Linked DNA regions of Rattus norvegicus. The protein of the gene in region 3 interacts with the protein of the main gene of each other region in a pairwise test. Links are inferred from orthologs where the notes say so. Each region holds a gene or a part of one and is shown on either strand. Other genes may lie near its edges.

Region 1 (4,790 bases), on a different chromosome or scaffold from region 3:
CACAGGAAAACCTGCACTTTCATATCCTCACATTTGATCCACACACTTCATCTAGGGACAGAAAAGCCAATTGGTTCTTGTACTACATCGAATAATGCATAAAAAAATAGGGCTAATTTGATAACGCAGATAAACCTTGGTTACCACAGAGCAGTCAATTTACTGAATATTATTAGTTAATACAACGATGATGCCATCACCTAAGATATCTCTGGGATGTTGAGTCAGGGCCCCTGTCATGAGCTCTAAGACACACTCAGTCTCGCCCTCTTACCTACAGTTTCTTTTGCAATATTTTGCCCAAGGGTGCTAACCTGTAGTAACAATAGACAACGTTGTGTTCGATGGTTTACATTCCTTTCCCTCTACGTTCCAATTCAGATTAAGAAAGAGAGACAAATTGTTCATATACTCCTAGCCCAACTTTTATACACACACAGAGAGAGAGAGAGAGAGAGAGAGAGAGACAGAGACAGAGACAGAGACAGAGACAGAGACAGAATCAACGTAATGTTTTCTTAAAATTGATGAACAATGTAGACCTGAGACATTGAAAGACACCGAATCTGAACTTCAGGGCACTGAGTGAACCTGCGCCATTAGGTTGTTATCTCTGAGCTTCAGCTTCTTCCCTGAGCTATTTCATCTCTCAAACAAGAGAACTAGCATCCTCCCTCTTCCACTTTCATTTCTTTCCCTTAGGATTTAACACTGAACAAAAGCAACTTGGGGAAGGAAGGGTTTATTTGCCTTATACTTCTAAGTCTCGGGCCACCCTTGAGGGAAGTCAGGGCAGGACCTCAAGCAGGAATCTGACGCAGAATTCATGGTGGAATGCTGTTAACTGGCTCTCACACTGGCTCATGCCAAACCAGTTTCTTTTAGCCCCGGACTACTCGCCTAGGAATGATATCCCCAACAGTAGCCTGGATCCTCTGTATCAATTGATAATCAAGATAATCCCTTACAAACATCCACACAGATCGATGATCAACCCGGTACAGTTACTCAGCTGAGACTCCTGTCACGTGATTTTTAGGCTATCTCAAGTTGACAGTTCAATGCTAACTAGGGCAGTTCCCTCAACGTTGATAATAATTAACTGCACTTATGGTTTACACCGCTGCACATAATAGCGATAGGTACAAAACGTGTGGTTTAGAAAGTGTATGGACTACTTAAATAAGCACGAAGGTCAGAACTATTATCACACAACTTAAGATGGTGACACACAATTGGTAAGCGTGTAACCATGTGCTTGTGCTAGTCAGTTCTTTCTGAACCTCATTGATTGAGCTTTTCATGATGAAACACGTTTCAACCTATTCTACAGAGTCAGAGGATGGCGAACATGTTAGGGAAGGGTTTGAGGTTTTGTTCTCTCTCTCCTTATTAAAATGCTATGACTCAAGTATTTCTAGAAGGTTCTTCAGGTTCTCTACCCTTACCCCATTCTCTCAGTTATTGAAATGTTGCTATTTAGTAACCTACAAAGCCAAATTATGAGGAAGTCTGGCACATCTGCATACATCTGACTAACAAGGAAGTCACTAGGACACCAAAGCATGGTTTTAACAAGGCAGGCCCTAAGCCATCATAAAATTCTGATACCCAGTTCTCAGCTGCTGTCCACAAATAGTCTAGAGCTCCCATAGCCTAAATGGAGCATATGATATTAACATTGTTTCACAGCCTTCTCTGGGATCACACACTTTTTTTTTTTTCTGGAAAATGCCTCAATCTTTGGGGATGTGCTGCACCTGACTAACTAGAGGCAAGTATTTCTTTCTTTTTTTTTTTTTACAAGTTTTGTTTGAATTTTTATTTTCCTTTACATTTTTTCTTAATTTTTTGAGAATTTTGCATAATGTATTTAAAAAATAATATTCATCCCTATTCCAATTTCTTCCAGGTTCACCCCCACCTTGAGGCAAGTATTTCTAATTCTCTTGCCTAATCCCTGCCCTGGGGAATTATACAGAAAGTTCCTGATTATGGCTTCTTGCACTGGCCTTCAGCCATTACTTTCCAAACTCCATTCATCTGTGGTCTTATTTCATGCAGACATAAGGAGCCAACTTAGTCTCCAAGATACCTATGAAGCAAGACATTGTCACACCGTGTTTCCAGGAATCACTGTGGACACAGAGTAATGTTTTCAAGCTTTGAATTTTTTACTAAAGTCAGAACTTGGGCAGAAGAGGGATGGAGGTCGAGTGCCCAGAGAATCTAGTGTACCCAGGAAAACTTAAGCAAACCTTTGGAGTTGATCAGAAGAAGTGGTTCAGTATTCAAACTCTCTGATGTTTTACAAGTATTTGATCTGTGGCTAATGCTCAGCTATGACATCAGAAAAGACACACCCCTAAGGACTTCCTTAGAGAAGTCCTTAGAAGAGAAGAGAGTGAGGCTAGTTCTTAGGAAGAACTTTGATATTATTTCCCTTATACTGAGCAGGCAAGTCCACAACCCCTCAGTCTAACCTCAGCAGCTTTCCTCCTTCTCTTTACCTGTTTTTAGTGCGGAGGAAGCAATGACAAAAGTGGGAGAAAGTAAGACGTGTTTGAAGGTGGGGGGAGGGCACGGAGGACTTAGAGGTAGGAGACAGTTGACTGTATACTGCTAGAGGTGGTCGTAGCTGGGGGGAGGGGTGTTGGAAGAGGGAAGGGGAGAAAGGGACAGGAGAAAGAGAGAGAAAGTGGGGGAAGGGAGAGAGACAATATGATTCAATCCATCACTCTTAATTTTATTAGAGAAGGAAAGAAAAACAAGTTAAAAGTTACATAACTTTCAAACACCACCTCTACTTCTTTTGCTCTCCCTTGAAAGGAGCAGCCACGCCCTTCTACAGGATTCCTGAAGAGTCTCTAGGCGGGGTCCGAGTCTGAGAAATGAAGGGATACGGTCTAAGGAATTCCAAAAGTTCTTGCATTCTTTAACCTCCCCTTCTCAGCATGTCCGGACGATGGAAGGACACTCCCGCGCCCATAAGCGGTGCCAAGCCCCTTTCCTGCTGTCACGCCAGAACCCTAAGTCCTTACCTGTGCGGGGCTAGGGTCCTGGGTGGAGCAAGGCTGGATCTGAAGGCTGTTCAGAGGCGTCAGTTCTTCCTGCTGCCCCTCCACTATCGAGAGCTCCAGCTCTTCCCGGGATGATGGGGTCCTGGACCCTTCCATGGCAACTCGGAAGACCGAGGCTCCACTGAGAGCCAAGACGCGAGCACCTAAGGGTGCAGAGTCCAGCACAGGGAGACTGCTCCGCTCACACTCCACCCACCAGGCGTGGCAGGTAGACCTCGGGCGGCGCCAGATAGACCTGTGGTGGCGGACCTGGAGGGGCGGGGCGAAGCTAGAGAGTGGGAGCACTCTGGCTTTGGTTAGCTGACCTTGCTCTCGGGAAAGGTAGATGCGGGTGGGACCCTGCTGCCTTGGGCTCAGAGCAGAAGAAGGCTGTTTTTCTGGTTTGTTCAGGGTGCAACCTGCAATGCTTTTCAGTGTGGATACAGACCGCAGACAGTCTCCCAAGGCCTGACTGCAAGCTGGACTGTGGCAAGGAAGGGCTAGGCTGGTTTGGGGGTTGGGGGATGGGGGCGGGGGCCAGTTCCCAGAACTTTGCCTTCTACTTGAACCGGTGAGATGCTGAAACTTACTCCAGTTCTGTCTAGCGAGGGATCATCTACCAAATCAACGAACAGCTATGAATCATCTTCTGGGTGACAGGCAGCATCCTGGATTCTGAGCACAGGAAGATGAATAATATACAGCCCCAAAGTTCCCCTTCCACCTGATTCAGGCATAGGGCAGTATCAGTATCGCTGAGAGTAATAAGGGCAATCAGCACGGCGTTAGCTCCCCATATGCTTGTGTTTCTCAGGCCAGAAGACAGTGCCTGGCAGAATTCATTACTGATTTACTAATTATTGTTTATCTTTGAGAGGAGGGGATCATAAACACCCCACCTGAGAAAAAAAGTATGTGTGTCAGGAAGCATACAATGCCTTCCGCACCCCATGCATAGCTCAGAGCTGGCTTAGTGAGCCCAAAATAACGTTTGCAAAGCAAAGTGTGTATTGGGTGTTGATCCAAGATCTTGCCTCTAGCTAGACCTTCTTCTCAGAGCCACTGCCCCCCTCCCATTGCCTTCCTCCCACATAGACAGTTATTAAGACCAGTTTGGGGATTCCAGAAATATTGAGAACATATTTAGAAATGTCTCTATCAGCTCTAGGCATCCAGCCCACGTTTATGGCCCTACCCTTGGGTTTTATCACCAGCCACCAGAGAGATGGTGTTGTTGTGATGTTTATCCTTAATCCCAAGGAAAGATATTTTAGAAACTCAAACCAAGCGCTGTGAACTGGAAATATTCATTATCGCGGGGTAGTCATAACTTTTCAATCATTTTTACTAATTTGGAAAATAACGTTTCCTGTTCTCTCTCCTTTTTGATTGTACTTTCTCTGCAGATCCGTGCAGTGTGTTCTGAGATCTGTTTAATAATAGTATCATTACTTCTCCTCCAATATGCTTTTTATCCCATTTTATTTGTTTGCTGCTGTGGTTAACTCTGACCTCTGACAAGAAAAATATTATTCCAATACGGAGTGAGTTGAGCGAAAACTCTAGACTTACAGCTCTTCAAAAACATTCATTACAAGACTTTGAAAAAAAAAGTAAATCTTGACAATTCAAATTTCACAGAAACAACCAGAAGCCAGGAGATAGTATACCTGAGAAGTTTGACTTTCAGAGCACTCACCCAAAACGCCTCTGGCCCTTCACTGTTGGTCA
Region 2 (4,852 bases), on a different chromosome or scaffold from region 3:
TTCTAATTTGATTCTCAGCCTGGCAGTGGTGCATGCCTTTAGGGGAGGCTGAGGCTGGCAGATCTCTGTAAGTTCCAGGATAGCCAGGGCTACACAGAGAAACCCTGTCTTGAAAAACATACAAACCAACAAACCCCTCCAAACAATGAATTCTTGCTATATTACCCAGAACTGACCCAACCGACTTCCCAGCCTCCCCAGTCCCAGGGATGAGTCCTTGCACTGGCCTCCCATTTGGTCAGCATGTTGCCTTGGAGATCCTGCAGGCTAAATATTTTCACTCACCCTCTCCCCTGGGCCGGTAAATCCCAGTCTGACCTCAGACTGGCCTCCTTCCTCCATCCAGTCTTCCGTTTAGGGAACATTTACTATGTGCCTGGCATTGTGCCTCCAGAGGCCCTAGCACACATCCTCAGACCTGTCAGATCTTTCTGGTCCGTGAGACTCCTTGTTACTGTCTCTCTTCTCTCAGTCAGTTTTCTGCAAATTCATCTGCAAAATGCACTGGCAGAGAGGCTTCAAGTTTTCCTGTCCGGTCCAGGCTGTGGCAATCCCTGATGGCTAGGACCAAAGGTCAGGGTTAAATTCGCTTCTGGGCTTGGAGGTGACAGAAGGACCACAAAACTGCTAAAGGTCTGGGTGGCAGGTTTGAAATGCCTCTGAGTTGGACCCTCTAACATGTGAGGGGAGGGGCTGTCTCCTTGTGTCAGGAGAACATTTAAGGAACCCCAAGTATTACCTCTCTCCGCACAGGAGAGGGAAGAGCCCAGTTTACTTGACCAAGCACGCAGCAGGAGGCACCTGCCCCAGACCCTGACCTCTGCATCACCGAGAGGAGCTGACCTGGGATAAACAAGCTTTGTTGTTATATAGATAGTGGTTACTTTGTAATTCAGCCAGCCCTACATCAAAACACACCTCAGAGCCCCTAGTCCCGGGAACTGGAGACTGAACTCCTCCCACTTCACCTGTAATTCTAGATTTCACCTCCTACGGATCCCCTTCCTACACCCTAAGTCTTAGCTGGAGGGCTGGGCGAGCTCCGCATTCACCGGGAGAGAGGAGAGAGGAGGAGGGGGCAGGGGGTGGGTGGGGAGAGACTGGGAGGTGCAGCGGGAAGCTTGTAGCAGGCAGGCAGGAGCAAAGGGAAGCCGTAGGCTTCACCCCTGGTTTCTGGGAAAAACTTTCGACCTTCGTGAAGATTTAAAGACACCCAACTCCCAAGTGTAACAGCCTGAAGAGCGCGGAGTTCTGAATATTTGCTTCACCCAAGCCCTCGTCCGTTCTGAGCCTGAGTTTCTACGTGGGTAAGTGGTCAGGGAAAAAAGCACCGAGCCTTTAGTACTGTGAGGATTAAATAGGCAGCCCTTGCTAGGATTCGGCTACGGCGATGGCAGAAGCGGCATCTACGAATACTCGGGTGCGGAGAGCACACTCGCAGATGCACTGGCACGGACACTGTGTCAGGTCCGCAGGCGACGGAAGAACGTCTGCAAGTTAACGACTTTTAAAACAGCGGTTCTGCAGCCACTATTTAGCCAGGGATTTGGAGCCCCGGAGGGAGGGGCTAAAGGGGAGGAGCCGGACGAGCGCGGCCACCTATCAGTGCCCAGCCCGCCGCTCACAATAACCCGCCTCCAGCCAGCGCCCCCAACTCAGCCACCCGAGTCTGGGCCGAGAGGTGTTCGGGCAGCTCGCCCGCCGCTACGCCAGCTTAGCCGGGCAGGTAAGCGCCCGGTAGCCCTAGCCCAAGTAGCCGGAAGGTTGGGGACCCGTGTTCAAATCCCTTGGTAGCCCCGGCTCCGAAACGTCCCCTCCGCGTCTCACACCCCAGAAGGTGCTAGCCGCGTCCGCGTGTCTCGCTGCGCTTCCGTGCACTGGGGTGGCCCTTGCGTCCTGGCTCCAGGACTTGGTAAGCAAGTGGCCTTGGCTGTCGCCGTGCCCTCGGTGTCGGAAACTTGGGGGAAGCAGCTCGGGACCAGGGCGCGGCACTGCCACAGTAGGGCGCCCAGGCTCTGCCCCGGGCGCAGGCGGAAGATGGCGTCCGCACCTGTCTCCGCGAGGACCTGGGAGTTCGCATCTGTCCCTCCCTTGGGGATCCTGGGATCCGTACCGTTCCTGCCGCGATCTGGTAGTTTACACCTGTCCCCGATAGAATCCAGCTTCGCATCTGTCCCCTCTGGGACCCCGGGACGCACGTCTTCGAGGGGTGGCAGAAAGGCCTTCTTAGGCGACCTGGGTAGTTTAGTCCATCACTTTCTCGAAGCTCCTCGCCACCTTCCGGTGCCGAGGCGCAGGGACCGGGAGGGGATCGGAGGGTCCACCAAGGTCATCTGTGTGCTTCCCAGAGTACCACCCACAACCGACACCGGGGGCTCAGTACTTCTGTCACTTTCGCTGTCCTCTCCGGCCTTGTGGCCTTGCGGATGCATGCGGATGCAGGTGGTTTTGTAAACTTAATTGCAGTTTTGAAGTGCACTGAGCCACCCCTGCAAAGTGTTGTTGTTTACTGTTGTCGCTGCAGGTGATAACACTGTTACTGTGGTCTGGAGCCAGGTGCAGAGCTCTCTAGAAGGTTGGTTTCATACCTGCTTTGGGGTGTGGGGGTGGGGTTGTCAGTGAACCTTAATCTTAACCTTTGGGGAGCAGGCTTCATTTCAGACAGAGTAACGGGCATGTGTTCCAGCCGCCACACAGAGCGGACTCCCATAAAGGCTGGCTCCGTCAAAGCCTGGAGGGTTTTCTTGGAGGCCATACCAACCTCTCTACTTGTGACCTGCTTTCCGTTCTGACTGTGTGGCTTTCTAGAGGTTCCTCCACCATTCTGGACCTCAGTTTGTTGAGTTTTTGAAATGTATCCTGGTTTAACCTGGAGGGGAGGGACCTCACCCAAGAAGCCGCTGAGCTACTCAGCAATGCTACCTTGATTTCCGTTCTGTTTGGGCGCGATTACTGTTGCCGCTTTACCAGTATCCACTGAAGGCTTATCTGGGGCCCTTGGCTGCCTTTGGATCTAGTGTCCTGCCTAGGGCAGGTGGCACTCTGACCTCCCAGCCTTGCCCCTCCCCACGCCTCACTCCCCCCTCTCCATATTCTCCCCTCTATACTCCAGGATTTGAGGCATAGTCTCAGGTAGCCTAGGCTCGCTATGTAGCTGAGTTTGGTCTTGAAACTCCTGATTCTCTTACTTTCCCCGCCTGAGTCCTAGGATTCCAGGTACAGTTATTGTGCCCAGGTTATTTATTTGTAGCTAGGGATGGAACTCATGGCCCTGTGCCTACTGCCATTTTTCTTTCTTTTTTTTTTTTTTTTCCGGAGCTGGGGACCGAACCCAGGGCCTTGCGCTTCCTAGGTAAGCGCTCTACCACTGAGCTAAATCCCCAGCCCCTACTGCCATTTTTCTTAAGGCCTCACTATGTAGCAGGGCTAGCCTTGCATTCTCCATCCTCCTGCCTGCCTCCAGAGTGTTGACTCTTCGTCTGCTTTCTGTTGCTAATAAGATGCAATGCCTCAGGTCGAGTCAAGTTATAAAGAAGTGAAATTTATTCTGGGTTCGTGTGGGGTTGAGGGGTCATATTGGATGACGCCCTCTCTCTGGCAGATGACAACATACATTGTGCATTTTACCCACCTCCTAAAGATCTAGTCTCTAAACCCCACAGTGAAGTCGAGTTTCCCCCTCCAAATACCTCACGAGGGGGATTAAATGTCAAAGCTCCAAGCTTTGGAGACCCCCCCCCCCAGTCATATCTAACCACAGCACCTCTCCTTCAAGGTCACAGAGCTGACACTGACCTTGGCTGCTGTTTCTCTGTTGTTCCTGCAGAGTTAGGTTTTAAAGGTTGTTCGTGGTTTGCTCTTTTGTATTTTGGAGACAGGGTCTCACACTTTATAGACCAGGGTGTCTTTGAACTCTCGATTCTCTCACCTGAGATGCTGGGGTCATGGGCCTACGATACCAAGAGTATTTTTTTTTTCTTACCTCAAAATCTGCACCTTGCCTGAGGATGCTGGCTTCCAGCCCAAGTTTGGAAATGCAGAATGTCATTTTCCAGCTTGGTGACAAACTTGTGTAACTTCGGTTCTAAGCTGTCCCCTAGTTAGCATTTTAAAGTTGCCTTTTGTTTTGATTCTAGACCTGGGGATGGGACCCTGGGCTTTGTGTATTTTAAGTAACACTTTACCCCGGAGCCACAGTTGATCCTTTTCTGTAGCAATGCTTCTTCAAGCACTGGGAGGTTTATAAGAGACCATCAGAGTGATACAGCCCTGTCCCCATGGGTGTCTATGTGGCTCTTCATCTTCTGATGACACCTTCCCTGACAACCCCTCCACGTCTACCCTTCCTGTCATTTCACCCATTCGTTGTCCTGTCCTAAACCCTTGGCTGTCTGAAATCTCACGAATTCGTGTCCTGACCTTCTGTAGCCTGCATGTTCTGTGAGCCAAGGAACATCACAGGAGAGCCCGTCATAGCCTGGACTCTCTCCGGGTGGAGAGGTTACCTGTGTGCTGGTCACTGTGGGGTGGGTGATATACAGTGATGAAATCACTGAGAGCAAAGAAGCCCGAGACTGTGGACTGGAGATGTAGCTCAGTGGCAGAGTTGCTGGATATTACACACAGATTCCTGGGTCAGCTCCCAGGGATGGAGGCCAATACTAGCTCGAATTCGGGAAGGAAGCAGAAGTTCAAGGTCATTCATTCTCGGCTGCATATTGAGTTGGAGGCCAACCAAGAATACAGGAGACCCTGTCTTGAAAGAAAAGAAAAGAAACAGGGTACAGTTGGCCCTCCTATCTTATGTTTCTTTCCCGCCTCTCTTAGGAGCAGGGCAGGGATATTTGGAAGG
Region 3 (3,500 bases):
GACCAAGATGGACTCATTGAGAATGGAGGCTATGCAGACCAGACCTACGATGGATGGGTCACCACAGGCCCCAGGTTTGGGGATAGGGATCTCCAGGTCTGAGGTGGGGGCCCGGGCATGTTAGGATGGTAGTGCTCATGTGTGGGAGGGACTGGAGCTGCCAGTCTCACCCCAGCTGCTGTCCCTGACCAGTGCTTACTGCGGAGGGCTGTGGCTGGCAGCTGTGGCTGTGATGGTCCAGATGGCCGTTCTGTGTGGGGCCCAGGATGTCCAGGATAAGTTTTCTTCCATTCTCTGCCGAGGCCGGGAAGCTTATGAGAGATTGCTCTGGAACGGTGAGTAAAAGCAACCTGGGGCATCTTAAAACCCAACCTCAGGATACAGCAACTTTACTCTGCTCCCTCTCTATTCCAGGACGCTATTACAACTACGACAGCAGCTCCCAGCCACAGTCCCGCAGCGTCATGTCTGACCAGTGTGCTGGGCAGTGGTTCCTGAGGGCCTGCGGCCTGGGAGAAGGAGACACTGAAGTGAGCGAGTAGAAGACCCAGAGAAGTGTGGGTTTCCCTGGAGGTGGGAGGCAAGTCTGACTCCGCCTTTGCCGTTCCTCCAGGTATTCCCTACCCTGCATGTTGTCCGTGCTCTCAAAACCATCTTTGAGCTCAATGTCCAAGCCTTCGCAGGAGGAGCCATGGGGGCTGTGAATGGGATGCAGCCTCATGGTGTCCCTGATAGGTCCAGTGTGCAGTCTGATGAAGTTTGGGTGGGCGTGGTCTATGGGCTGGCAGCCACCATGATCCAAGAGGTAATGTACTCTCTTCCCATCCCCTCACCATTGTACCTTAGTCCAGAAGACTTCCTCAGCCATTCAGTTTATTCCAAGAACACCTAATGCCATCTCCCCCCCCCCCCTCCGGAGCTGGGGACCGAACCCAGGGCCTTGCGCTTGCTAGGCAAGTGCTCTACCGCTGAGCTAAATCCCCAACCCCACCTAATGCCATCTTACCCATCCACAGAGCTCCCTCTTCCCGGATATGCCTTCCACCTCTTGCCTTTTAAGTTCTTGCCTTTAGGGCAAACAGCTTACTGCCTTATCTGCTAAGGAAATTGTGCTGAGAACTAGCTATTATGTGTGGCTTCTACCTCTCCCTACAGGGCCTGACTTGGGAAGGTTTCCGGACAGCTGAAGGCTGTTACCGCACTGTATGGGAACGCCTGGGCCTGGCTTTCCAGACCCCAGAGGCATACTGCCAGCAGCGAGTGTTCCGCTCCCTGGCCTACATGCGGCCCCTGAGCATCTGGGCCATGCAGCTGGCCCTTCAACAGCAGCAGCATAAAAAGAACAGCAGCCGGCCAGCAGTCACACAAGGCACAGCACCCAGCACAGCCTGAATGCGGACCAAAGAGATCACTGTAAACCTACGTCCAGAGCGATCCCACTGAGCTGTGGAGGCCCAGCCTCCGCACGGGGCTTCCCTGCCTCTTCCCACAAGTCCTGCAGCCCTGAGCCAATAGGACAATCATGCCCCTCCTCTTCCTACCCCGCTGTGCCAGTAAGAAGGGGCTGAGGAACCACTTATTTATTTCTTATCCTTCCCATTCCTTCTGTGGATGAAGTATTCAAGGCCAGTAAATTTCTCCAAATCTATTCATGGGACAACAGATACACATGGGTATAAATAAAATGCTCATACAACTAGTTAGTGTGGTGAGTTCCTGGGCATCCTAACAGGCCCGTGAGCAAAGGCTGGCTCTCCCCTACTCCTTTTTATGTGAATACAGACAGGAGTCCTTGGGCTGAGGACACCCCATATCCTCACACCTAACCTGAATACCTGCCCTGTAAGATGATCGAAGAAGGGCTGTGGGTAGAGAGCCATCCTCCACTTTCTGTAAGATTTGCTTGCAGGAGAAGGTCGGAGCCTGAGAAGGGCATCTCTGAAGAAAGATCAAGGAGTGGCCAGTGCGGGGGTTGCTCTGTTTGAGCCATGTGGTTCAGGCAGGAAACATTGCTGGGGGCCAGGAATGTATGTTCTGAGCTCTCCAACTGGTTTGTGCTGCCCATTGGTAGCTCTGGCTGTAGGGCAGACAGCTTCGGCTGATGCTGGTCCTCGCTGGGCAGGGCACGAAGCTTGCGGTGCAACACTGAAGAGAAAGAGACTTGTCAGGAGACAACACAGAAGAAGCCCTCTACCACAGCCCACGCCTCAAGCCTCTTACCAACATACTCAGCGGGCACACTCCCCCTCACATCAGAGGAGTACATAGCAGGTACCAGAAGAAGGCAGAAGGACAGCAGGAGGACCTAGAACACAGGGAAAGGGAGGTGATGGGCTCTGGGTCATACACCCCAGCCCTGCCAAGGAAAGTGTCTCTTGTCCCCCTCCTCACCAGAACGCAAGTGCTGCCACTGCTGGTTTTGTTTGCTATCTCAGTCACCATGGCCTGAAGTTTCCTCAGCTGATCTAGAAGGGACCTAAGAGAAGAGAGGAAACTGGTGGGCATGCTCCGGCCTAGTGTCCAAGTCACAGTGAAACCCTCCTGTTTAAGCCACCCTCTCCACTGGTGCTGTGGACCCAGCCTCCGCTTCCTTGCTCCTTTTTCCCCAAATGACTTTATTGTGCACAAATGCCTGTGATCCCTTAGTGAGACAAAAAGTAAAACTTCTCTGCCCTGACTTAAACAAACTCCACCTCCTGTGTGGACATCTCCACAGGACAAGTGTCCAGCACTTAAAAGCCAGAGTTTTCTTATTTTAAGCTCTCTAATGCCTTAAACTCTGCATGCCTCACCCAGCACTGTGTTCTCTACCCCTGGGCCAACCCCCCAGAGCTAGTGTCCAGCCAAGCACAATATGTGTCTTCTCCGAGTCCCATGCCCATGACTGCAACCGCTCTGATGTTGATGACCTGCATTCAGCCTTTTCTTACTTCTTTAACTTGGTACTTACTGCTCCTTAGCTACCTTTAAGTTTATTCTCCATCACTCTGATGTCTGCATTTAGAAGTCGCGTGGACCAGGGGAAAGAGTAAAAAAGCATTAAAAACATGAATGGCTTCAAATGGCCACTTACAGATTCTGTTCCTCCAGATGCTGCACCTTGTTCTGAAGCTCCTGATTCTGGGCTGTGTATTTCAAGACCCTGGAGGACAACATGGATACAAGGACACATGGATATCCAAATATTGTGTGTCCTCCCTTCGAAACCTTAGGTTTCTAGCTTCCCCCATGCCCATTTACCTGCTCTCTAGCCCCACTACATACACCTTCTTCTTCTTGCGGCTTTCTTGAGCTGCTCTCTTGTTACGAATCTTCCTCCGTACTCGTTTTAGAACTTGTTCCTCCACCTAAGAGAAGATAGGGAAAAGGTCACCCATGGGATATCATTATATGCCTGTATGTCATACCTTTACATATTACATAGGTGTGTTGGATGGCAGCTAACCTTCCCAATGAAATTCTCTCCACAGCTTTTCTGCCAATAGGCATTCACCTTCTGT
Region 4 (4,876 bases), on a different chromosome or scaffold from region 3:
AAAAAATTAATTAAATAAGTTTAGTAAGAAGCAGCAAGATGGCTGAGTGGTTAAGGTGCCTGTTGTCAGGTCTGACTCTCTAAGTTCACTTTCCAGATGGAAAACGGGGTCCAACGTTCACAAACTGTCTTCAAATTTCCACTTGCACACACATATGTGAATACACACATTTGATAAATACATGTTTAAAAAGTCTAATGTCACATCTCTGGACATAAAGCATTGAAAGTCAGACTACAGTTTCTGCTTCTGTCACATTGTTTCCCTTCTTTAAGTTAAAGACAAACCTCAAAAGTAAGAGAGCTCGCTGGGGTCTTAAACTGTGAGATTTCAAGTGGTGCCTCCTTAGGCATTCCAGCCAGGCACGGGAAAGTGTTTCTACGAAGTCTTTGCCATCCTTTGTTCTGCTGTTTGCCTTAGAGTGAGATGCTCAACCCAGTCAGGTGATGCCTGAACAAAGGCCGAGAGATTTCCCTGCCTAACCCCGGGAACACCGCTGAAGCCTGTTTATTGCCCTGCCATAAGCCCTCTTGGAGGACATCTGGGAGCCCTCAAAGGAGCTGCCCACCCTTAGGAATGAGGTTATATGACTCAGTCCTTCATAAACCCCGTCAGGTATGATGAGAAAGCCATGAAGTTGTAGGCAGGCGGTCACCAGGCAGACGTCTCTCCCCTGGATGGGCTTCCTAGGGACATGATCGAAAGAGAGGAGGAAGTTTTCAGACTGGCTTTATGCTAACATAATGTATCTGGAAACTCTAGTCTGCAGTTAGGAGGAGGAGGAGGAGGAGGAGGAGGAGGAGGAGGAGGAGGAGGAGGAGGAGGAGGAGGAGGAGGGAGGGAGGGGAGGGGGAGAATTTTGGCATCTTCCTGCCGATTTAAATGCTAAATTGTAGTCATGAATAGGACTGAGATAGGACGTTCACTTCCTCGGAGACTGGGTAGAGGTCAGTATCAACGTTTCAGTCCAAAGTTACCTACATGATATTTTTCATAATACATAACATCTACCTTCCTGTTCTTAATCGAAGGAATACACAAAACTATCTAAAGCAGCAGAGAAACCGACGAGTAGACATACCCCTCCACTGGGGCTGGTTGTGAAATGCCTTTCCCATGCCCACCGCCTTTTTTCCTTTGTTAATTGTCCGTGTTTAAGAGGAGGAGAATTAGGTCATAAGAAAGATCACGCACACCCACCTCAAGCTTCACACACCTTGGGGAACGCAGAACAAGTCTGCACGAGTTGACCTTGTCCCCCCCGCCCCCCATTTTTATTTATTGCATTTTTTTTTCATTTAGAAAATGTAACACGAAAGGTACGTCTTCTCCCTCCCCCTGGTCATCCCCTGAAACAAGCCCTACTACACCCAACAGTATTTTATCTGTGAGGAGTCACAGCCCTGCAGTGGCCGACGGACAGCTAGAGCTGTTTTCTCATATTTTTTTCCCTTCTCGTCAGCACATTCAAACTACAACTTTATCTTGACCAGGTTGCTTCTGCCTGCTCAGCCCCACGTTCGTCAGCCTCCTCCCCACCTTCTCCCCGCCTTTTCTTCCTCCCTCCCCTTTCTCCTGGCCCCTCCTTCCAGTTGAGTCAGTGGCTTGAAACTTTTAAAAGCTCTGCGCTCCAAGTTAGAAAAACGCTTTTACGAGGTATCAGCACTTTTCTTTCATTGGGGGAAAGGCGTGAGGAAAGTACCAAACAGCAGCAGACTTTTAAACTTTAAACAGACAGGTCTGAGAGCCTGAACTCTCATTTTTCCTTTGACTTCAGCCTCCAAGGAGTTCCACCAACTTTGGCGCGCCGGCTTCACTTTCATTAAGTGAAAGAGTAAGTTTTGATAAAAAACCCGCTTTTACCTAATAGCGTCTCTTTCTGTCAGGAAAACTCTTGCACTGTGCTTTGTAAACGCGTTGCGTCTTTGGCTTAGGATATCGTAAGTAGAACGATGGTCTTCCAAGTGTCTTTGCCATTTCCACGTGCTGGTTTATATTTTGATTGTTTAAAAAGTTCCGCTGCTCGTGCAACAGGTAAAAGGCTCAAACTTTTTCCAGCTAGAGTGAAGGACCAACTTCCTAGACTTGGTTCTTTGTTGTGGAGCCTAATTTTCACTTTTCTGTAGTCCCTGATGGAGAAGGTGCTGCGGTGGGAGGGAAGGGGGGGTCCCCTCCGTCAACTTTGCCTAGCCTGCTTCCTCTAGTGCAGGACACTGCAGGCTTTTTCCTTTTTCCTCCTGAAAATCCCGTCGGCTGTTCTACAGCCTTGAGAAAGCTGGCTCCTTTTGTAACAGTGCTTTGTTGAGCCCCTGCCGCAGCAGTTGACTTCCACGTGGTTCTTCCTTAGCCTTTTTTCTGGATTAAGCCAGAAAATACGTAGATCGGGGTGCTGCGGGTAGGGTTTTTAGACCAACAGTAGTTACTTTGTGCGAGCCAGCGCGGTGCTACGGGACGAACCCCTCAGCCCACACAGCCAGCTTTTTTTTTTTTTTTCCCCTCCACGCTGGCAACTGCGGGCGCGAGAAATCTTGAATGGGTGGTGGTGACTTGGGGAGCGTTAGAGGAACCGGCGTTAGAAACAGTGTGTGCCAGGGTGCTTTTCCAAAACCAACTGCTAAAACCCAAGCTCCTAGAAGGAATGGGGAAAAGGGAATTTTGGAGCCGCGCTTTAGAAGGGGCTGCCCCCTCCCCACCCCCACCCCCCTTCGCCTGCCTGCCCGGACCTGTAGGGACTTCAGAGCTGTTGGGACAGTTTTGAATTAGCTTCTAGAGGGTGCAAAGCACTAAGCAAAAATGATGTTAACGTGCAGTTTAAAGGGGATCCGTCTTAAAGCTGTTATTTTTTTTCTTTATTTTTAAATTGGTAACACATTCTGTAAAGCACTTTGCCCAGTCTTCATTCTGTCCGGCCTAAATCCACACCGAAACGACTCAGGGTGGGTCTGTAGTTTTGTTTGGTTGGTTTTTTTTTTTTTTCCCGTGTACCAGACGGGCCGAGTCCTTTTGAAGTGAAAACTTTAGGGCAGAGGGTGGCACGGGCCCTTCCTGCCCAATCTTAGCATCATCCCGGGCTCGGCTCCCCGCAGCCTTCCGGCTTCGCGGTCCAGACCGCTGCCTGCGACGGAGGGGGGTTGGGGGGGAGGGGAGGCGAGCCTCGCGGCCGGACCGTCAGAGGCAGCAAGTGGTCGACTTTATTAAAGTTGTCAATCTGAAGTCTCTTCCCCTGCCCTCCGAGACGCCTTTTCGTGGTTTCTCTGCCTAAACTTGTCGGGTGGCTGAGTGGAGCCCCCGGGAAGGTCCCCTGAACACCTAGGGAGCCCGGGTGCTGGTAAATGCACTTGTAACACTCCTGGAAACTCTTGAAATTCCCCAAGAATGAGGCGGGGCGGAAGAAGGAGGGGCAAAGAAGACCCTTCGAGAAACCGTGCGACAGCTACTGACGTGTGCTGAGGCAAATCCGTTCAGGATTGGAAAATTCAAACCTTGACTTCCGAGCAGAGTTCTCCCCGTTAGTGCCCTCGGGTCCACCCAATGCTCACTGGGCATCTCTGGCAGAGCCTTGGCCGAGCACTCGGCGGCCCGCGCCCGGAGGTGAGCTTCCCTTTCCCTCCCACTACTGGGTTTTGAGGAGAGGAGAAGAGCCTACAGGGCCGACTTTGGAGGTGGGTTTGATTTCCTTTGTTCCCCAAGCACAATAGTAGTGACTGGAAGGTAGTGAATCTTACCAGTCCAAAAAGACCTCTGGGCAGCAACCTTGAATGGTCAGTAGCTTCCCATGAGGAAGCCTGAGGTTAATTTTTTCTTTTTTATTTTCATGAGGATTGATGAAAATAAAAGTGTGTTAAAGTAAACGAGGGCATAGACTGCGGGGGTGGGGTCGTACTAGTTAATTCTGCTGGGTAGGCCAAGTTGTGTGGAAATGAGCGCATTTACAGGCTGTACTTTCTGTCCTGGAGAGGTGTTGAACTCTGGATTACTGGAATGCACTCCCCGGTGTGTGAAAGCTTTGTGCATCTAGATTCGGGTACAGTGGGCTACCTGTCCCTTGCTGGGGTTCCAGGTGGTAGTGCTTTGGTACTCCACTGTCTAAACACACACCACATAGATGTTCTTCAACGTTGTCCCATCATCCTTTGAGGTTGGGATTCTTATTATTGCTGACCTTCCACGGGGAAATGTGGTTCTAAAGCCAGCAGCAAGAGGGGAAGGCTGCGTTTCCTTCCGCGAAGGGAGCAGAACTTGGTTGCTTAGCCGTCTTCAATTCCTGCAGAGAGAAGGGATAGCAGATACTCTGCTTTGCTTTATCACCGTATTGCAGAGGTGCAGTTCATGTGAATTGTAGAAATTTGTATGCCCCGAGGGAAGGGAACTATAGGAAAGTCACCCACTGATTAATACCTCGAACTCCACCTATCCTGATCTTCTACCTTCCCTTCATGATTCTGTTTGACTTCTGATGTGTCGAGGCTTATCCAGCTCACTAAGGAGAGAAATAATCATCTTGGGTGTGTCATCCACGTTTGCATTAAGTGTAGATGCTCCTCCCAAGCTTAAACATTCCTAGCTGCTTCTAAGTGGGAGGGTACAGATGTGTGTGTGTGTTGAATTCTTGGGAGAACTGGTTAAAATCTCCACTTTCCACAACTGTTAATGTACCATAAAGAGATGTGTGAGCAAAATGCCTTTTGCCAAAATCCAACCATGATTAGTTCTTGAAGTAACTGCCTAAATTCACGTCTCAATTTTCTGGTTGTCTACGTTTTTTTAGAAACTCTGTTGTTCCAAACAGTTCTAGTTTACTGCTTTGCTGCAGGAAAAAAAAAAGGATACCAAAACTAGAAGGCAGGATGAAATAAATTTACAGTACTTTTGAAAG
Region 5 (4,751 bases), about 89 Mb from region 3:
GGGACGACGAGCCTATACCATCACCTGGTGAATGTGGTGCTGTGGCTGGAACTCAAGGCTCCACACTACCAGCTGAGCTACCCTAATCCAGTCCTTCCTCCATCCCCTTGAGACAAGGTCTCATTCTAGCCTGGGCTACACATGGCCATAGTCCTTCCTTCTCCCACTCTGGGCCCTGGAGATAGCCTCCAAGGATTTATTGACCAGTCGACCAATGAACTACACCCCCCCACCCCCACCCCCACCCCCGTTATACTTAACAAGCTGTGGTCATGAAGACTCTAGGAGAAGGAGTGACTGAGCAGGGAAGTCATCAACCGGAAGGAGATACCCATCAGCAGTCAGTACTGGGGTGTGGGGGAGGGCGAGCCATAGGGCCCAATCCCCAAGAGATAGACTGTTTAGAGTACATTGGGCAAGCGGAGTACAGTGGGCACATGCCTTTAATTTCAGCACTGGAGAGGCAGAAGCAAGTTTGAGGCCAGCCTGGTCTACAGAGCAAGGAGAGTTCCAGGACAGCCAGGGTTGCACAGAAACCTTGTCTCAAGGAGAGGGGGGGGGGGGCAGAAGGACGGAAGGACGGACATGTGGGGCGTGGTCTTCTCGGTTGAAGGTACCACGCCCTCTCAGGAATTTTCGGGGCTTCTGGGGTATACAGGCTGCTGCAGTAAGTCTGTTCTGCCCAGATAGCATCGATTAAAAAGACAGGACACTGTTCTTTGTAGAGGTAGAGATAAAGCAGCTACTCCAGATCGCAATCAGAGAGTGCAAGGCAGGAGGAACTTTCAAAGTGGATCTGTAACTCCAACTACTGCAGTCCGTTGGGCACGGCCCCAGCAAAGGGCTGCAGCCACAGGGCAAGAGCACCAGCCCACTGTGGGAATGTCATTCCCTTGAATCAAGAATCAAACTCCAGGAAGTCTCTCTTCCCCTTGGCAGCCCCCATCAAAGCTGCTAGTAGTCACATCCCTGCCCTAAGGGCAATCAAAGAATTTTCTTTCCTTTCGTTCTGCCGGTTGTTGTTTGGTTGGTTGGTTGGTTTTGTTTTTTGAGACATTGTGTAGCCTTGGAACTCACTCTGTAGACCAGGCTGGCCTCGAACCCAGAAATCTGCCTGACTCAGCCTCCGCATTGCTGGCATTAAATGTGTGTGCTACCACACGGGGCTGATTTTCTAGAAACCCAGATTCCAAGGCTTTTTTTTTTTTTTTTTTAAATTCCTATGGGATTCTGGGAAGAGCGGGTGCTTTGGTCACCTAGTCCTATCTTAGCAACTCTGGGCAACTCTTAGCAAGTGCTTTCCTCTTTGCTCCAGGCAAAAACTTTAGGTCGCTGGCCTCTCGGCTCCTTCAGGCTCCGGACGCAGGAGACGGGTCCTGGGGGCAGAGCAGCGATTCCCTTTGCAGCCGGCCGCCCTTCCCCCTCCCCGCGGGCTTTTGCACACGACGCGCTGCGGGCGGCTTCACACGAGGTGGTGAGGGCCGGGGATAAAGCGAGCGGGCGCGGGGCGCAGAGGCAGGACCAGAGCTGAAAGTAGAAGGTGACTGCGAGCTGCCATCGTCCCGCGCGCAACTTCGAGGGCTCACCGGGAGAGGTGGCATGCAGACCATGGACAAGCAGAACCTGCTGGAGAGCACGCGCGGAGCCCGGTAAGTTCAAGCCCCAAGGGGCGGGAATCTGGGCGGCATCACACGCACCTCCTCTTTGACCATCTTGGCTGTGGTTGGTCTGGGCGGGGGCTTGAACTGGGACCCGATCAGAGGGATGGGGTGAGGCAAGAAAAAGGAAATTGGCAGGGACCTCGTAGCCTCAGGGATCACCTGTCTCACCTGGCCAAGCACACAGATCCTGAACGCTGCCAGCCCGTGCGCCCGAGTAGGACCTAGGGTGCCTGGAACCCCGCCTTCACTCCAGCACTTTGATCCCGGGTAGCCCTGAGGTGGGGAGGCCCTGTGCCCTCGGGTGCGCTGAGCTATGGTCTTTAGCTGCTGTCTGAGCCAGAACTCTGTTCTCTCTCTGAGCTCGACCGGACGGACTGCCCTTTGGCTAGTTCGCAAAGACTCTCCTCAGCCTGGGGATGGGTGGAGGAGGAGGGGACCATCCTAGAACAAGGTCCCAAGACTTACCTCCCCAGTACCACCCCCACCCTCCTCGTAACATTGGCTGCTTACCTCTGCTTACCCGCCAGCCACTGCGGCGTTTGGAGTGTTTTTACTTGTTCTAGAAACTTCGCACCAGCCATAACACCAGAGACTGGCTCAGGGCTGCCTCCCTGCCTCCGGCCAAGCAATTTTTTCTGCCCTAACCCTGGCCTCCAGGTCTTTCTTTGGAGCTCTGTGGAAGAGTGAAGCTAGCCGAATCCCGCCTGTGAACCTGCCCTCTGTTGAACTGGCTGTCCAGAGCAACCATTACTGTCATGCGCAGAAGGATTCTGGAAGTCACCCCAACTCCGAGAAGCAGAGGGCCCGACGCAAACTCTATGTGGCCTCTGCCATCTGCCTGGTGTTCATGATTGGAGAGATTATTGGTAAGGCCGTGTGTGGGAATCAAGTGAAGTTGTTGCGCGGATAGGCCGAATGCTCACATCAATGCTAATGGCACTAATAGCCACCCCAGTTTAATCGCTTAATTCTCTCTCTCTCTCTCTCTCTCTCTCTCTCTCTCTCTCTCTCTCTCTCTCAGTAGCCTTGGCTGGCCTTGAACTCATGTCTCTGTCTGCTCCTCGAGTGCTGGGATTCATGGTGTGTGACACCACAACCACCAGTATTCATTTGTTTATTGTTTTTTTCGAGACAGGGTTTCTCTGTGTAGCCCTGGCTGTTGTAACTCCCTCTTACGCCAGACGGGCTTCGAACTCAGAGATCTGCCTGTCTCTGCCTTTCATGGGCCACTACCGCTGGGCTAACTTTTTTTTTTTTTTTAAGGTAATCTCTTGGCTAGAGCCATGGCTCTGTAGTTAAGAGCACTGGCTGCTGTTCCAGGGGACCTGCTTCCCAGCATCTACCTGGTGGCTCATGGTCATCTGTTATTCTAGTCCCAAGGAATCAGGGAATCAGATGCCCTCTTGTGGCTTCAGTGGGCACCAGGCATGTGGTATACATATATACATACATATATACATACATACATACATACATACATACATACATACATACAGGTAGGCAAAACACATACACTAAGTTAATAATAAAAGAATTAAGAAGAGCCCCTACTGAGGCCTGAACTGGATTTTCTGTCAGTTGGGATTAACGTCTGAGACAATCTGCTGAGGTGCATATTGAACTAAACAAAGTGAACCTGGCCTCCAGGTTCTCCCAGCATCCTTCAGTCTCTACATGGCAAACTCTGCCTTCAACCTGAACTTTCTAGCCCAGGGGGCTGAACTTCTGACCCCAGAGGCTCGGTCCTGTATAATCCAGACATTTCGGTACCCTGCCTTCCTGCCTTCTTGTCTTCTTGTTCATTCTTGTTTGTTCTCTCTCTCTCTCTCTCTCTCTCTCTCTCTCTCTCTCTCTCTCTCTCTCTCTGTCTGCACACTAGAGTGCCACCTGCTTTTTCTTCCCCCTCCCGTCTCCCTCTCCATGACAACTTCCCTGACCCTCACAGGGACCAGTGAACTCACCTGAGTGGTTTCCCAATAAACCTGCCTTCATATATACTTTTAATCTGCTTGAATTAGCTAACTTCGCCAGTGGAGAAATGACTTACCACTTTCTTTTGTTTCTTCCTTTTTTTTAAAAGAAGATTTATTTATTTATTTATTTATTATATGCGAGCACACTGTCATTCTCTTCAGACACACCAGAAGAGGGCATTGGATCCCATTACAGATGGTTGTGAGCCACCATGTGGTTGCTGGGAATTGAACTCAGGACCTCTGGAAGAGCAGTCAGAGCTCTTAACCACTGAGCCATCTCTCCAGCCTGTCTTCTTTTCTTTGAACTTTTTTTTTTTTAAGTTAGATGGAATTTTTCTCTGTAGCCCTGGCTGTCCTGGAAGTCATTCTTTTTTTTTTTTTTTTTTTTTTTTTTTTTGGTTCTTTTTTTCCAGAGCTGGGGACCGAACCCAGGGCCTTGCGCTTCCTAGGCAAGGGCTCTACCACTGAGCTAAATCCCCAACCCCCTGGAGGTCATTCTTTAGACTTAAGGCTGGCCTCAAACTCATAGAGCTCCACCTACCTCTGCCTCCTGAGCGCTGGGTTTAACGGTTTTTGCCCCCCTCCCACACACACACTGGGTTCTTCCTCTGTGTATCCCTGAGGTGGCTTGGAACTTGGCTTTGCCTCAATTCAGTGACTTGTCTGTCTCTGCTGGGATTAAAGGTGTGTTCCACCATGGCCTGAGCCTGGGAGTGGACGTGAATGAATTCCACAGGAGTAGTTGTGACTCAAGAGAAGAGGTCAGGTGCTCATGTTGTACTGAGAGGTGCAGAGACCCTGAACCCAATGGGCCTCATCTTCCAGGGCTGATGGGCTCTCTGCTGTGCACTACTGGGGGAGCTGGCCCTCTGGGGGAAACTCACCGCCCTGGCTCTCAATTCCTCAGGTGGGTACCTGGCACAGAGCTTAGCCATCATGACCGACGCGGCCCACCTGCTCACTGATTTCGCCAGCATGCTCATTAGTCTCTTCTCCCTCTGGGTGTCCTCCCGGCCAGCCACCAAGACCATGAACTTCGGCTGGCAGCGAGCTGGTAAGGATCCTCAGTGGACCAGAGATGGGGTTGATCAAGAGAAAGCATGTGGGGCCTGGT

What was found. The genes of interacting proteins can lie anywhere in the genome.
Region 1: the proteins of Creb3 (region 3) and C11h3orf52 interact in a two-hybrid assay, tested with the Homo sapiens proteins (2 studies listed by BioGRID and IntAct). The two-hybrid records come from large-scale screens. The link is inferred for Rattus norvegicus from reciprocal best matches to the Homo sapiens genes CREB3 and C3orf52.
Region 2: the proteins of Creb3 (region 3) and Bik interact in a two-hybrid assay, tested with the Homo sapiens proteins (2 studies listed by BioGRID and IntAct). The two-hybrid records come from large-scale screens. The link is inferred for Rattus norvegicus from reciprocal best matches to the Homo sapiens genes CREB3 and BIK.
Region 4: the proteins of Creb3 (region 3) and Gja1 interact in binary tests that used the Homo sapiens proteins (3 or more experiments, as listed by UniProt). The two-hybrid records come from large-scale screens. The link is inferred for Rattus norvegicus from reciprocal best matches to the Homo sapiens genes CREB3 and GJA1.
Region 5: the proteins of Creb3 (region 3) and Slc30a2 interact in binary tests that used the Homo sapiens proteins (3 or more experiments, as listed by UniProt). The two-hybrid records come from large-scale screens. The link is inferred for Rattus norvegicus from reciprocal best matches to the Homo sapiens genes CREB3 and SLC30A2.

The regions. Positions count from the first base shown.
Region 1 is NC_086029.1:68,628,005-68,632,794, reverse strand, and holds the start of C11h3orf52 (similar to human chromosome 3 open reading frame 52), read right to left. Parts: upstream 3,226-4,790; 5' UTR 3,177-3,225; coding exon 3,042-3,176; intron 2,885-3,041; exon of another isoform or gene 1-2,884. UniProt on the Homo sapiens protein: Has a role in LIPH-mediated synthesis of 2-acyl lysophosphatidic acid (LPA). LPA is a bioactive lipid mediator involved in different biological processes, and necessary to promote hair formation and growth.
Region 2 is NC_086025.1:116,550,676-116,555,527, forward strand, and holds the start of Bik (bcl-2-interacting killer), read left to right. Parts: upstream 1-1,627; 5' UTR 1,628-1,726; intron 1,727-4,852.
Region 3 is NC_086023.1:62,616,375-62,619,874, reverse strand, and holds the end of Creb3 (cyclic AMP-responsive element-binding protein 3), read right to left. Parts: intron 3,348-3,500; coding exon 3,241-3,347; intron 3,143-3,240; coding exon 3,074-3,142; intron 2,477-3,073; coding exon 2,392-2,476; intron 2,306-2,391; coding exon 2,221-2,305; intron 2,146-2,220; coding exon 1,823-2,145; 3' UTR 1,393-1,822; coding exon of another isoform or gene 1,156-1,392; 3' UTR 856-1,155; downstream 1-855. Other genes in the region: Gba2 (non-lysosomal glucosylceramidase), read left to right, coding at 1-74, 193-335, 415-530, 614-805, 1,156-1,392. UniProt on the Homo sapiens protein: Endoplasmic reticulum (ER)-bound sequence-specific transcription factor that directly binds DNA and activates transcription. Plays a role in the unfolded protein response (UPR), promoting cell survival versus ER stress-induced apoptotic cell death.
Region 4 is NC_086038.1:36,300,913-36,305,788, forward strand, and holds the start of Gja1 (gap junction alpha-1 protein), read left to right. Parts: upstream 1-1,651; 5' UTR 1,652-1,834; intron 1,835-2,844; exon of another isoform or gene 2,845-3,662; intron 3,663-4,876. UniProt on the Homo sapiens protein: Gap junction protein that acts as a regulator of bladder capacity. A gap junction consists of a cluster of closely packed pairs of transmembrane channels, the connexons, through which materials of low MW diffuse from one cell to a neighboring cell.
Region 5 is NC_086023.1:151,841,925-151,846,675, forward strand, and holds the start of Slc30a2 (proton-coupled zinc antiporter SLC30A2), read left to right. Parts: upstream 1-1,526; 5' UTR 1,527-1,599; coding exon 1,600-1,649; intron 1,650-2,256; exon of another isoform or gene 2,257-2,307; coding exon of another isoform or gene 2,308-2,318; coding exon 2,319-2,527; intron 2,528-4,544; coding exon 4,545-4,691; intron 4,692-4,751.